Elephas maximus indicus: one gene and its partner. The protein of the gene in region 1 interacts with the protein of each later gene in a biochemical or structural test. Links are inferred from orthologs where the notes say so. Each region holds a gene or a part of one and is shown in the gene's direction. Other genes may lie near its edges.

Evidence for each region.
Region 2: the proteins of SIAH2 (region 1) and EGLN3 form a complex in vitro, tested with the Homo sapiens proteins (2 studies listed by BioGRID). The link is inferred for Elephas maximus indicus from reciprocal best matches to the Homo sapiens genes SIAH2 and EGLN3.

The regions. Positions count from the first base shown.
Region 1 is NC_064841.1:9,164,409-9,172,264, forward strand, and holds the start of SIAH2 (E3 ubiquitin-protein ligase SIAH2), read left to right. Parts: upstream 1-4,846; 5' UTR 4,847-4,853; coding exon 4,854-5,288; intron 5,289-7,856. UniProt on the Homo sapiens protein: E3 ubiquitin-protein ligase that mediates ubiquitination and subsequent proteasomal degradation of target proteins.
Region 2 is NC_064828.1:46,367,524-46,374,787, reverse strand, and holds the start of EGLN3 (prolyl hydroxylase EGLN3), read left to right. Parts: upstream 1-4,259; 5' UTR 4,260-4,592; coding exon 4,593-4,949; intron 4,950-7,264. UniProt on the Homo sapiens protein: Prolyl hydroxylase that mediates hydroxylation of proline residues in target proteins, such as PKM, TELO2, ATF4 and HIF1A. Target proteins are preferentially recognized via a LXXLAP motif.

The DNA.
Region 1 (7,856 bases):
CTAACACAATGGCTCCAACAGTGGGCTCAAACATAGTAATGATGGTGAGGATGGTGCAGGACCAGGCAGTGTTTGGTTCTGTTGTACACGGGGTTGCTGTGAGTTGGAACTGACTGTATGGCACCTAACAAGCTGGAAATGATAATAATAGTGCCCACTGAGAAGGATTATTGCTGACGTTTAAATGAATTATTTCATGCAAAGCACTTAGAAGATGATGCCCTGCATACAGTGAACAATCAATAAATATTAGTTATTATTAGTTTGGAGCACTGGTGGTACAGTGGTTAAGCCCTTGGCTGCTGTTAAACAAAAGGCTGGCGGTACAAACCCATGAGCCACTCCATGGGAGAATGATGCAGCAATCTGCTTCCATAAGATTCCAGCTATGGAAACCCTATGGGGCAGTTCTACTCTGTCCTATATAGTTGCTATGAGTTGGAATTGAGTCTATGGCAATGGGTTAGGTTTTGGGGTTTTATTATTAGTTTATATTGTCCACAGCACCTTTCCAAAACCTCAGGTTTAGTCATGTTACACTGCTTTTCAAAAACCTACAATGGTCAAAAGAATAAAGAGAGAACCTACAGACTGGGAAAAAATTTTTGGCTATGACATCCAACAAAAGTCTAATCTCTAAAATCTATAGGAAAATCCAACACTTCTACAACAAAAAGACAAATGATCCATTTGAAAAATGGGCAAAGAATATGAACAGACACTTCACCGAAGAAGACATTCAGGCAGCTAAAAGACAGATGAGAAAGTGCTTGAGATCACTAGCCTTTAGAGAAATGCAAATCAAAACAATAATGAGATACCATCGCACCCTGACATTACTGGCACAAATCAAAAAAAAGAGAAAATAACAAATGTTGGAGAGATTTTGGGAAGATTGGAACTCTTACGCACTCCCTTAAAAAGCTAGAAATACAAATACCATATGACCTAGCAATCCCTCCTAGGAATATATCCTTGAGAAATAAGAGTCGTCACACGAACAGAGATATGCACACCCATGTTCACTGCAGCATTATTCACAACAGCAAAAAGATGGAAACAACCTAAATGCTCATCAACAGACAAACAGATAAACAAACTATGGTACATATACACGATGATGTACTACGCAACCATAAAGAACAATGATGAATCCACGAACATGGATGAATCTGGAGGGCATTATGCTGAGCGAAATATGTCAATCAGAAAAGGGCAAATACTGTATGAGACCACTATTATAAAAACTCATGAAAAGGTTTACACACAAAAAGAAACAACTTTTAATGGTTATGAGGGAGGGAAGGTGTGGGGAGGGAAAAATACTAACTAGACAATAGATAAGTGGTAACTTTGGTGAAGGGTAAGACAGTATACAATACTGGGGAAGTCAGTACAACCTGACCAAGGCAAAGTCATGGAAGATTCATAAAGACATTCAAACCCCCCAAGGAACCAAATTAGTGGGCTGAGGGCTATGGGGTCCATAGTCTTGGGGGACATCTAGCTCAACTGGCATAACACATTTTATAAAGAAAATATTCTACATCCTCCTTTGGTGAGTAGTGCCTGGGGTCTTAAAAGCTGGTGAGTTGTCATCTGAGATATGTCTACTGGTCCCGTCCATCTTGAGCAAGGGAAAATGAAGAAAACCAAAGACAAAGGGAAAGATTAGTCCAAAGTACTAATGGACCACAACTACCACAGCTCCCATCAGAGTCCAGCATAACAAGATGGTGCCTGGCTACCACCATCAAATACTCTGACAGGGATCACAATAGAGGGTCCTCAAAAGAGCTAGAGAAAAGTGTAGAACAAAATTCAAGCTTACACACACACACACACAAAGACCAGACTTACTGGTCTGACAGAAACTGGAAAAAATTCGGGGAGTATGGCCCCTGGACACTCTTTTAACTCAGTACTGAGGTCACTTACCCTTCAGTCAAAGATTAGACAGGCCCATAAAACAAACAATAATACATGTAGCTCATCCATGTATGCAAGACTAAATGGGCACACCAGCCCAGGGCAAGGAGGAGAAGGCAGGAGGGGACAGGAAAGCTGGATGAATGGAAATGAGGAACCCAAGTTCAAGAAGAGGAGAGTGTTGACAGGTTGCAGGGTTGGTAACCAATGTCATGAAACAATATGTGTATAATTGTTTAATGAGAAACTAATTTGTTCTGTGAACTTTGACCTAAAACACAATTAAAAAAAGAAAATTAAACTTATACTGTTCCCCTGGTCACTGAGGTAAATATCTTATCAAGCCAATCGCACCAGCCTACACCACTGACACTCCCATTACAAGCCCCAATGTACTCCACCATTGAGTTCTCTCACCCTGTACTTTTGGCTCATGCTCCACCAGCTGCTCCTTGGAAATCCTATGGGGCAGTTCTACTCTGTCCTATAGGGTCATTATGACTCGGAATCCACTCCACAGCAACCAGTTTGGTTTTGGTAAGTGTCTTCCTATCACCCACCTCAATGCTTCTGAAATCCTGTTTCTTTATTGTCCTTTGCTCCCTTTCTGGAATGAATGTAAACTGGATGAAAAACATTCTCAGATTCCAAACAGTACCTGGCACATAATAAATGTTTAGGAAACACTGACTGAATGATTGAATGACACCTCCATCTATACATTTTTTTTTTCCTCCAAGATTTAGATCAAATTCCACCAATTCCATGCAGGTGGTCTTTCTAGATGCCCTCTATAAGATTAAACTGCTTTCCTCTGGGCTCCAAGAGCACATTTCTTGACTGATTTTATTCACTGATACTAATATTAATATCAAACGTTCACTTATAATTAGCTTTTTAAAAATAACAGCTAATGTTGAAACAATGCTGATGGGCCAGGTTTTATTCTAAGTGCTTGACATGTATCAACTCATTACTCCACCTATAAACTGTTGTCGTTATTCCAGTTTTACAGATGAGGAAACTGGGTCACAGCGAAGTTAAGAGAACTTGCCAGAAGTCATGCAGGTGGTGGGTGGAGGGCACTATCTTTCATCACGTCCAGTTAGCTGCTTCTTATCTCTTTCTCTCCCAAAAAGAATCATCCAAGTCCCCTGTAGGTAGTGCTTTCCCCCAAGTCCGGTAGTCAGGAGCTCAACCAAAGTACGGAAAAAAACAAAGGCATTTTAACTCAGAGTACCAAAACCTGCTACTATCGAGTCGATTTCTACTCATAGCTACAACTGCCCCCATAGGATTTCCAAAGAGCGGCTGGTGGGTTCGAACTGCCATCCTCTTGGTTAGCAGTCGAGCTCTTAACCACTTCGCCACTAGAGCTCCAACTCAGAGAATCAAAAAAACCATACCAAACCCAGGGCCGTCGAGTCGATTCCGACTCATAGCGACCCTATAGGTCAGTGTAGAACTAACTGCCTCATAGAGTTTCCAAGGCGCGCCTGGTGGATTCAAACTGCCGACCCTTGGTTAGCTGCTGTAGCACTTAACCACTTCGCCACTAGGGCTCCAACTCAGAGCACAGTATACATTAAATTAAACATGCGGCTGACTCCCGACTATCCTCCCCCCATAGGGTCACTACCAGTCCGAATCGACTCGATGGCAATGGGCTCGGTTTTGTTTTGGTTCTAGGGCTTCCGCTGAGAGTGCGAGGCATCAAAGCCTTGGACTTCGGCGAATCCCAAAGATGAGGACGCAGCGCGTTACACTGGAGAGTCCTGCACTGCCTTCCTGGGGTCTTACGACCATGTTTATGGCATGCGTGAGTGCTCTCGAACTCTCCTTTTAGCCAAAAAAAAAAAAAAAATTTTTTTTAAAGCTGTCCATTAATTCTTCCCTGGCCTACTGTGCACGTCAAAGGCGCTCAATTCAAGGACGCTTTTGCCAGGTCCGGGGGTAAAGTATTAAAGGGAGTCCGCCTCCTCCCCACCCTGGGCGGCAGGACTAAGGAGAAGACCTGTACCCTTGATAGTGCCAGGTCCTGCGCCCGCTGCAGATCCACCCATTGTCCTGCTCCCGCCCAGAGTTCTTCCTCTTGACCCCGCGTTCCAGACCCAGAGCTCTCTGGCTGGCCCCGCCGCACGCCCTCCCCCGCGCACTGGTGACTCAACTCAGGCGAGAGAAAGCTCTCGGTTTTTTCCGACCTGCGCAGGGTGGCCGACGCCAGCGTCCCGCCCCGCTCGCCGTCCACGCCCCGGCCCGGCCTGAAGTTGCCCTTCTGGTTCGTGGCTGGGGACGCGTCGGCGTGGCTCCCCGGGGTGTGGCTAGAGGGCCTTGGAGACGCCTTCGCGGAGGGCTCCCCTCCCCAGCCCGGAAAAGCCGGCCCCGGCAGGCGACAGCAGGCGGCGGCGGCGAGCCGGGCATGCTCACTGGCGCGGGCCAAACCCGCGGCCCGAGCACCAAGCGCCCGCGCTAGGCGGCCCCCTACGCTGCCAGCTGGAGCCGGGCGGAGCCCACGCCCCGGCGCAGGGTGGCTCTGCCAGTCCCTGCGCGCCTGGGCGGCCTCGCACGTAGCCAGGCGTCACGTCCGCGCGCGCCCCCGGGGCTTGCGTCAGCTGCCGCTCCAGAAGCTGGTGGGCCGGGGCTCTGCGCACCGCTCGGGTTCGGGGCCCCGGACGCCGCCGGGAGGAGGGCGCCGCGCGGGATCGGAGGGCGCTGAGGGGTCTCTGGAACGCCGGGGGCCCTTGGAGAGCGCCAGTGCGCTCCATCCCCCGCCGGCCCGGCGCCGGCGGTCTCCGCTACCCGATCCCGGGCTGGGCGCCGTGGCGTTGCCCGGGAGCCCACCGCCCGCGGGGCGCGCTCCGCCTTGACCCCGGCGGCCCCGCGGCAGGCAGGCGCCCGCAGTTCCATGGTTGGCTCGGAACGCAATGAGCCGCCCGTCCTCCACCGGCCCCAGCGCTAACAAACCCTGCAGCAAGCAGCAGCCGCCGCAGCCCCAGCACGCTCCGTCCCCGGCTGCGCCCCCGGCCGCCGCCACCATCTCGGCTGCGGGCCCCGGCTCGTCCGCGGTGCCAGCCGCGGCGGCGGTGATCTCCGGCCCCGGCGGCGGCGGCGGCGGCGGCGGCGGTGGCGGGGCCGGCCCGGTGTCCCCGCAGCACCACGAGCTGACCTCGCTCTTCGAGTGCCCGGTCTGCTTTGACTATGTTCTGCCTCCCATCCTGCAGTGCCAGGCCGGGCACCTGGTGTGTAACCAATGCCGCCAGAAGCTGAGCTGCTGCCCGACGTGCCGGGGCGCCCTGACGCCCAGCATCAGGAACCTGGCTATGGAGAAGGTGGCCTCGGCTGTTCTCTTTCCCTGTAAGGTAAGCCCAGGTGCCGCTCGAGCACCTCCACTCGGCGACCTTCCGGAACTTCGGTGTCCTCCAGCTCCTTAGCAGGCCCTGAGAAGCAAGCGGCATCTCTCCTATGTGAGAGCAAAAATCTTTCCGCTTTGTCGGGCCATCCCCCCGCTCCCAAGTCCTCCTGTCCACCTTGCGGGTAGCTCTGGGCTGACATTTGCCGAAACACTGACCCCAGATGAACTGGCAATTCTCTTCTCATTAGAAGCCGTTGCTGTTCTCCCCGCCTGGTGCCTGCGCCCTTTGCAGACGTGTACTTGGGTGTGCTCTGTAGGGCTGGGCCGCACTAGTAAAACTTGGACCGGGAAGCTGCGTGTCTGTGGGGAGTTGAGGAGCGAGGAAGTGGCGAGCTAAACGCGCCCTTTCCCAGCACTCGGCTTGGCAGAATGGCTCCTAGGCTCCAGCACCGCGCGCCCACCGTCCGCGCACCCCTGACACGTGGGAACTCCGGGGAGTGTAGCTATAGAAAGGGCGCCCACAGCCTGTTTTCCTCCAGCTACAGGAAAACCAAGAAAACCTGGCAGCCACGCCTTTCCCTCTCCTGGTCTGTGTTCTAAGCCGGGTGAAAACCCGGGTCTGTCGGGCATTTCACAGGAAGGGCGCGCGGGAGCTGTTGGTACAGTTCTTTAAAGCCTATCACTTTATTTTTTAGTCAAAAAAGTTACCAGCGCTTTTGCAAAAAATGCAGACCACAAAGACGAGAAAAACAGTGAAAAGACCAAGACCTCTCGCCTCTTCCCACCGTTGTTAGGTTTAGCGTGTGTATTTATGGACTTTTTCTAACAATTTATAAATGTGCTCTTGCAGCCAAATATAGAATCGTAGATGTCAGTGTGTGTCAGGAAGGCTTATATATACATGCACACATAGACATAGGTTTCCTCCAAAAATGGCTTCTGCAACTTGCTATTTTTAATTCATATGATCACACATTTTTTGATGTCTGAAATTTAGCTGTACCTCCTTCTGTTTTAAATGGCTGCATAGTATCACGTTGTGTGGTCATATTATAACATGTATTTATCTGCCTCTGTCACTTAAAAGGAAACCCTGGGGTGATGTGGTGGTTAAGAGCAGTTCAAATCCACCAGGTGCTCCTGGGAAACAATGCGGGGCAGTTCTACTCTGTCCTGTAGGGTCGCTATGAGTCAGAATCGACTCAGTGGTGGCAGGTTGGGTTTGGTATCACTTAAAAACATTCAGGAGCAATTCCGCAGATATCCTTGTCTGTTTTATTGTTTCCTTATAACCCAGAGCTACTCAGTAAACTTCACTTGCTGAACTTAGAAATGGAAATCACGTCATTAATACTTCTGGGTTTTTTATGTACAAGTAATTTCTTTGCCTTGAATTTCTCCTTGGTGCTGTTTATAGGATGAGAGCTCACTTTTTAAAATTAAAAATAACCCCCCAGAGAATCAAGGTTTGGGATTCAAGTCAGTAAAATGAGTGATTGAATCTGGTGTGCCGCCCCGCCACAAATCAAATTTAAAATCGCATATTCAAATAAAGGTCTGCATCAGTATCTGGACTGTTGAGTTTCAGTCAGCTGTAATAAACTACTTTGCTTTAATACTATCCTCATATGCTTAGTAATTCACCCAGCCCAATAGTTGTTTCATATAAAATTTAGATGAAATATTTCCATGATTTTCTCGGAGTCGTGAAGAAGTAGGCAACTTAGTGGTCAGAGAAGAATTGATGGTAGTTGAAATAAAGCGGGCATCTGATGTTTGAGATATATTGGGGAAGGGAGAAAGCCCCTCAGGATTTCTGGGAAACCATCTTCTCAGCCCTTCACTGTCTCCCAAACCCTTCAGTGTGAGGCTAATAGAAAAGATGGCTTTAGGTGAACTATAGTTCACAAATTAGCATATAATGTCTGTATTTCGTAATTGGTTTTTAAAAAGCCATCTCCTAAAGCCTTGGGACTACTCCCAGGAGAAAGGAAGGGAAGCACTTCTAGGATGCGATGTGAAGGGTGGACTTTCACTTTCGGGACCTTGAACTTGGGCTTTGTTGAAGTATAGGTTCATCCTTCACACGTAATATGCTAGTGAAGTCGTTCTTGAAAGGTGGTTGTTTGGGGAATCCGGAGTACTCAGCCTTTTTTTATGATTTTCCCAAGTCCCTGTTTTATAAAAATGCAGTTGGGCAAAGCCATCACTTGACAAGCTGGAATGTAAGACTCAGCTATCTCCCCACAGATCAGGAAGCAAGCTTAGAAGAGTTTACCTTGGGGCCACTTCTGTGTGAGTGTGTGTGTGTGTGTGCGCGCGCGCGCACGCGCGCATAAGAAGATGTATAAAGTGGCAGTGTGCACACCTTGACTTTGGCTGACCACACATCCAGACTATGGCCAGGGCACCTCGACCAGTTAATCTGGAGAATCCAAACTCAGATACATACAGAGGTCCAGCGAGCAGCCCAGATATGGGAAGGATGATAGACAATAGAGAGTGATAAGGCCTGTGGCAAAATGAAGACAAGACAGGTCTGTGTACCTTGCCCTTTGGCCTGCAGTTTGAGGCT
Region 2 (7,264 bases), on another chromosome or scaffold:
ACAAATACTTGTACACAGGTATTCATGGTAGCACTGCTCACAATAGCCAAAAGATGGAAACAACCCAAGCGTCCATCAATGGATGAATGGTTAAATAAATTAAGGTATATATAGACACAATGGAATACTATTCAGCCATAAAAAGGAATGAGGTACTGATACATGCTATAGCATGGATGAACCTTAAAAACATTATGCTAAGTGAAAGAAGCCAGACATAAAAGGTCACATATTATATACTCCCATTTATATGAAATATCCAGAATAGGTAAATTCACAGAGACAGAAAGCAGATTGGTGGTTGCCAGGGGCTGGGGATAATATGGAGTAACTGCTTAATGGGTACAGGGTTTTATTCTTGGGTGATAAAAATGTTTTGGAACTAGATTTAAAACCAAAAATCTGTTGCTGTAGAGTTGACTCTGCCCGACGTGTTACAGAGTAGAACAGAGTTCCACAGGGTTTTTTGGGTGTCATCTTTATGGAAGCCAATCACCAGGCCTTTCTTCTGTGGTGCTGCTGGATGGGTTTGAACCCCCAACGTTTTGCAAACTGTTTGTGCTACCCAGGGACCTGTCGGAACTAGATCTACACCCAAAACCAAATCTGTTGCCGTCAAGTCTATTCTGACTCATAGTGACCTTATAGGACAGAGTAGAACTGCCCCATAGGGTTTCTAAGGAGCGGCTGGTGGATTTGAACTGCCGACCTTTTGGTTAGCAGCCAAGCTCTTAACCACTACACCACCAGGGTTCCTTGGAAGTAGCTAGAGGTAGTGATTACACAACATGGTGAATGTACTAAACGCCATTAAACTGTTCGCTTTAAAATGGTTAATTTTACATTATGTGAATTTACTTCATTAAAAAATAAATCTAAAAAGAAAGGGGGAAAAAAGACAATGATTGGGATCTCTTTGTTACAGTGGAAAAGACAGAAGCATTCCAGGCTTCCTCTTCTACTCACCAGAGACTCCTTAGGAAAGTCACTTAATGTCCAACCCCTTTGGGCCTTGGCTTACTCATCTGTAGGAAAATGAAGCTGGGTTAGGTGACCACTCAGATCCTTTTCCAGTTCAAATTCAAGGCAAACAAATACAACATCCTTTCTTCCAAACTTCTCATTCACATGCTTGAAAATGGTTGCATCCGTACTGCAAATGCACACGGAAAGACAATGCTGTCTTAATTAAATTACAGGGAAATTAATTTGGCTTAGTTATTAATATGAAAAGTATTTTAATATGCATTATGATGGCACAAATTAATGGACAAATCACCAAAAAAACCCACATTTTAACAGTCAGCTTGAGATTTGCTACTCTGATGCTCAGACTCAGAGCTTGTGCTCGGCTCCAGCCTGTCTGCCCGCCTGGTGTAATCGCACACTGATTTTTCCCAGTCACGGTATCTCTGGCTCCTGTGCCAAAAGCGGGGCTGGCAGCCCCAAGCTGACTGGAAGGTCCTTGATTAATTAATAGGTACCTTTGCCAAGCAGGAATGGTGCCAACAGATTGAATTCCTTTCTAAACTGCCCACACCTTGGAACCAGAGTAATCTAGAAAACTTTAAGGCCAGCAGTCAGTAGAACTTGCTTAGACTATTGCTCCAGGGAAGGGCCCTTTGGGATTTTTTTCTCTTTCTCTGTTACAGCTTTACTCTAAAATTATTTAAACATTGTTGGAATAATAAGTCAAACTGACCCAGTCCTGGTTTAAAGTGAGCTCAACATATTCATTAAGGGCAGTGGGTATAGACTTCTTTGTATTTTATTGGCCACCATGTCTTTCAGGTTTCTTGTCCTGGGTAAATTCTCCCCTAATTATTCCTAGGAGTATCAGGAATACCTACAAAGCACCTTCAGCTAGAAAATTTTGGCCAGCTACCAAGGGTTATCTGCCATTTTCCCCTTTTTAATTCTAGCCCTATTCAGGATACCTACTTCTAAGGTTTACGATAGCCCCCAAAGATGCAAAAAGCACAAGCTGCTGCCCGCTAGGGCCTACACCTCCAGACTGCGCTTCTCCTAACCACCCTACTAGCCATAATGACCTCTCTAGATCACTAGAGGGGTCTAAGCCGTTTTGGGGTACGTGGGGTTCAAGTAGAAGTAGAGATAAGGGCCCTCCTCCCTTGTGCTACTGCATCCCATTTCATTCCTTGCCACAATTAAACAGTTCAGCCAGCTTTTACTTTAGGCCTTCCACTCCCAGGACTCAGGTATCTTCCATGGCTGAGAGACAAATTCCCTGCAGAACACTTCACTGCTCCTCTCCACAGGCACTGAGGTTTTGTTCTGGGCCAGGCTGATCTGGCTGGCACTCTTTTCCAGTCAATTCTCTTCAGGGAGACTCCTCAGGCCCTCATGCAAATAGACTCTTCCTGCAGACCCCCAGACAAGCCCAGACATGCCTGAATGCCACGCGGCAATGGCCGTGGCTCAGGCACAGAAACCAGGTTCCCAGTAACTGGCACACTACCATGTGCCAGACTCTGGGGGGTCATCATGGAGCTCCCTGGGAATTTACGTGACATTTCCTGGTGTGCTCACCAATTCAGACCTTTACCCCCAGGAGGTGTGCCTCCTGCTGAAAGGTCACACCAACACTGCAAACTAATCGCCAACCTGGCAGAGAACCTCCTCTCAAAGTAATGAGAAGTTTCACTAGTTTCTTAAACACTCCACCATTGGCTGTTCCATCCCCCAACAGCGCTCAGGTTCTTACTCAGCCACCCACCTCTGTCTGCCTTTTCCGTCACGTAGTAGCAGCATCCTTTTCCTATTCTGTTTGTTCTTGGCCTGGACTTCATTTCTCCCTCCATATTTCACCCTTCAAAAGCAGAGAGGAGGAGCTATTGGAAGGATAAAAGTAAAAAAGCTGTAAGGCATTGCACACAAAATAATGACACTTGGAAAACCTGTGCATTGTTTTGTTCAACTTACATGAAGAACTTGAGTGCAAACTAGTGTAAAATGATAAAATATGGAAATAGCTTTGCCTGTCATTTATGAGGAAACCCTGGTGATTAAGAGCTAAGGCTGCTCACCAAACGGTCAGCAGTTTGAATTCATCAGGCGTTCCTTGGGAACCCTGTGGGGCTGTTCTACTCTGTCCTATAGGTTTGCTATGAGTTGGAATCGACTCAACAGCACGTTGGAATTGACTCGACAGCAATGGGTTTGGGTTTTTCTGATTGTTTTTTATGAATATTTTCCCTGATTCTGATTCCTGGTGTCTGGTAGGTAAGGGGATCAGTAATCCATAAAGCAGTCAGCTTACCTTTAGATAATAAAAAGCCTTCTGTGTGGTGTCCATCCCTCTGGTATAATGAGCTGCTTGCTGAGAAAAGTGAGAGAAAGGACCCAAAATACAGTTTACTTTTTTGAGGATATACCTATACTGACTGTTAACACATGATTAATTTTGAAGGTAGAATTTGAGAACATCATATTTTAGTTAGAAGCTTGAAAGTTAAGTGGATGAAAACATTCAACAAAGCAAAATATTTGCAGGGTTCAATCAGATATGACCCAGCAAGTATTTCTAAGTTGTGCACATTCTTCCTCGTTCAGAATATAGAGCCTTGGTTGCTGTCAGACTCATAGTGACCCTATAGGACAGAGTAGAACTGCTCAATAGGGTTTCCAAGGAGCGGCTGGTGGATTTGAACTACCAACGTTTTGTTTAGCAGCCATTGCTTTTAACCACTGCTCCACCAGGGCCCCTTGCACATAGTAGGGGTTAGAAAAATATTAATTGTTCATTTTAGTTAGAACTGGATTCCTCCCAATCTGTCGGTGACTTGAACTTCCTGACTTGGGTCAAACAGCTGAGGAAAGGGGATTAACGAAAGGCATCAGATAAAGATAAGAAAGAGACCTCTGTTTAATATGTATATTTGTTCCTGGTTTTATTATTTTATTTAAAAGCCTGTGAGGTGACCAGCCCAGAGTGTGGCAGTAAACTGCTTTTGATTACATTTACATTTTCCAAATTGGGATCCAGGTTTTTAAGTTTGTTTTGGGGTTTTAAGCAAAACAATATGCAAATATAGCATTCTAAAAATTCAGTCTGTTCTCCAGGTTCCCTCACAACCAACCACGGCTGACGCCTGGCTCGCCTGGATCCTTGGCCTTGGGGGCGGAGAATGGGCGGGGGTGACTGGCCGGGGGCGGGGGTGGGGGATGGGGAGAAGGGCTGTCCCGGAGGCGGGGCCGGGGCGGGGCTCGTGACGTGCCGTGTCGGGCCGGCTCAGGAGCTGGACTCACTCTTTCTCGGTCTCGGACCGCCGCCGCGGTGGTGGCTCCGCATCTCCAAAAAGGGCCCTCCGACTCCTTGCTGGGTCAGTCCGGCGCTGGATCGCGGGGCCCTGCACAACTCTTCACTGGTCGCTGAGCTAGACACCCCCCGCCCCGTCCCCAGAGTTGCAAGCAACTTTCCCCTCTCCCAGGCGCTGCGGTGGCTCGGGGACTGTGGTCGCGGCAGGTAGCTGAATCCCCGGCCACGCTCCCGGCGCCTCGCCTTCGCGCGCTTAGGTCGCTCTCTCCCGTGGTGCACGCTGGGGGTCCCCGACCTCGACTCTGTGGGCGAGATGCCCCTGGGACACATCATGAGGCTGGATTTGGAGAAAATCGCCCTGGAGTACATCGTGCCCTGCCTGCACGAGGTCGGCTTCTGCTACCTGGACAACTTCCTAGGCGAGGTGGTGGGTGACTGCGTCCTGGAGCGCGTCAAGCAGCTGCACTGCAACGGGGCCCTGCGGGACGGCCAGCTGGCGGGGCCGCGCGCGGGCGTCTCCAAGCGGCACCTGCGGGGCGACCAGATCACGTGGATCGGGGGCAACGAGGAGGGCTGCGAGGCCATCAGCTACCTCCTGTCCCTCATCGACAGGCTGGTCCTGTACTGCGGAAGCCGGCTGGGCAAATACTACGTCAAGGAGAGGTCCAAGGTAGGACGGGGGCTTTCGGGAGTCAATTGTACGCTGCTTTCTCAGGGCTGCGAGCGAACTTTAATTTTAAAACCAAGAAGTCAGTCTGGTTTGTCCCCCAGCTCCTCTGAGCGATAGTTCATGTTAAGGGCTCAGGTGTGTAATTATAATTACCTTCTGTTGACTTTAGAATAATGGCTCTGGTGGGGTGGTACAAGCTAGCTGTGTCTTCCGGCCCCATTTTAAGAGATGGAGTTTCTCAGAGACTTAAACAAGGGAAAGGGTATTATAAGAAACATTGTTCCAAGGCACGTGGGTACTCACTCTAAATGCCTGCTTAAAGTCACCTGATATTCCCCGTCATTGTGTTCAGAAGGTACCCCCGCAAATGCACTCTTAAAGAACCTGGTGGCAGCTGTAATGTAATCTTGCAGTGAGGGAATTGGTCTGTGGAGTTTGTCCTGCAGGTGTGGGAAGAGTTTGGCATGTAAAACGTGCAGGATCCACTTCTGGTCACCTCGGAGTGTTGCCTTGGCTGGTTGGCACCAGAACACTATAAGACCATCTACTTGACTTTGGAAACCCTCTCCTGGTGCTCAGCCCTGCCCCACCATCTCCCCTTTCCCAGCTATAAATTGAGGTGAAATCCATGAGAGAGTATTCAGGTACCACTAGAAAGAAAATGGTGTTTCTCAGGTTTTTGTTCAGGTAGCTGTAAGTGACTTCCTGGGTGGTAATTTATTTTGGAGACAAATAGAGGTAGATTGAAAGAAATACGGGAACATGTAGGTACCATGATGTTGTCGCATGAACATTATTTGGGGATAGCCTAGCTACTCAGTCTTTCTTCAGATGATAGCCCAACCCATTTTTCTAGGGGGCAATTCTGAATGATTTATGTGTTTTTTATTGTGGACTAGTCAAGGGAACTCAGAAGGACAGAATACTTTTACTGAAACACAATGAGGCAAAGCATACTAGCCATGGGAGGGAATTAAACATTCAGCTATGTACCACTCTTTAAAAATATATGTAGTATGTCTCAATTCAAGAAGAGTCCTGTGTTAAAAAAAAAAAAACATTGCTGGCTCATTTGTCCCGTAAGCTCTGAGGAATGCTCTTCGTAAAGAACAAGTGTAAAGACTGGAAATGTATAGAAGTGAAGGGGCCAAGGCAAGTGAATGGAATAGTGGAGAAATAGATTGTTGGTCACCTTGCAAACCAGGAAGACTTAGAATTCCTGAAAGCATTGATAATAATTGAATGCAAACACAGTGGATCTTTGAAGAAATTGCTGCTTTCTGAATTTTATTTTGGCTTGGGGTAAATTTGGAGTTGGCTGAACTCTGTAGAAGATTGTTGTTAAAGTGTTTCTTTACTCTTCTTCCCTCATATTGGTGGTAGATCAGAAGTTATTTGTCTTCTGCATAGTTTTGCTGTTGTACTAAAGAACCTTACCTGTCTCCTGGGGTGGGTTAGCATCAGCCTGGCAGAGGTGTTTATAGCTTCAGTCTGCAAGATGGCTTCTTACCAGTTTTTTAAATTTCTCTTAATCTCAGGTATTAAGAATTTTCCTCCCAGCCTTCTAGGAACAGAAGTTAAAATTAATTGGTAGAGAGAAGTCACTAATATTATTAAAGTTAAAAATTGTTATTTAGCTTTGACTTCATGGATTAGGGGTAGAGTTTCAGGCTAGACTTTAACTCGACAAATTGAATGAAAAGTACTGTGTACATCTGGGTAAGGGAAAAAAAAACAAATTTACAGACATGATTCTTCAACAATGGGCTATCTTCTGAGTGGAAAAAGTAACTTCGCAGCTAACCCTTTCTGAAGGTGACTGTGAATTGAAGTCAGAAAACTCGTCTTGTCCACTGAAGAGATGCGTTTGAGCAACATCTGCCCATACCCCAGATTTCCAGCTTTCCTTTGGCAGTTTTGGCACAATGTTTGTCATTCCTGCTCTTCAGACAAATCACCTCTAGGTTGGGATATTCCCTATCTGACTAGAACCAAATGTTGGAGAAGGCTGGAGCAAACAATTATTACAGTAAAAAAAAAAAAAAAAATCAATTAGTTTATATAAAGAAATCTTCTCAGTGATGTCTTGGGGCCTTGGGTCTCTTGTATGAAGCTCATTATTAACGCATCATAGAAACCCATTCCAGTTCTACATGATTTTTATTAATTTCAACTTCACTTAACCTTTCTTCATTAATTGTTTCTCTTCCCTCAACCAAGGCTGTTTCCCAAAGTAGTGATATGGACCCAGTTTCCTGCTGCACCCTTCAAATAGGTTTCAGTAAAAAGTAAATTTTTGAATGACAGCCTTTGTA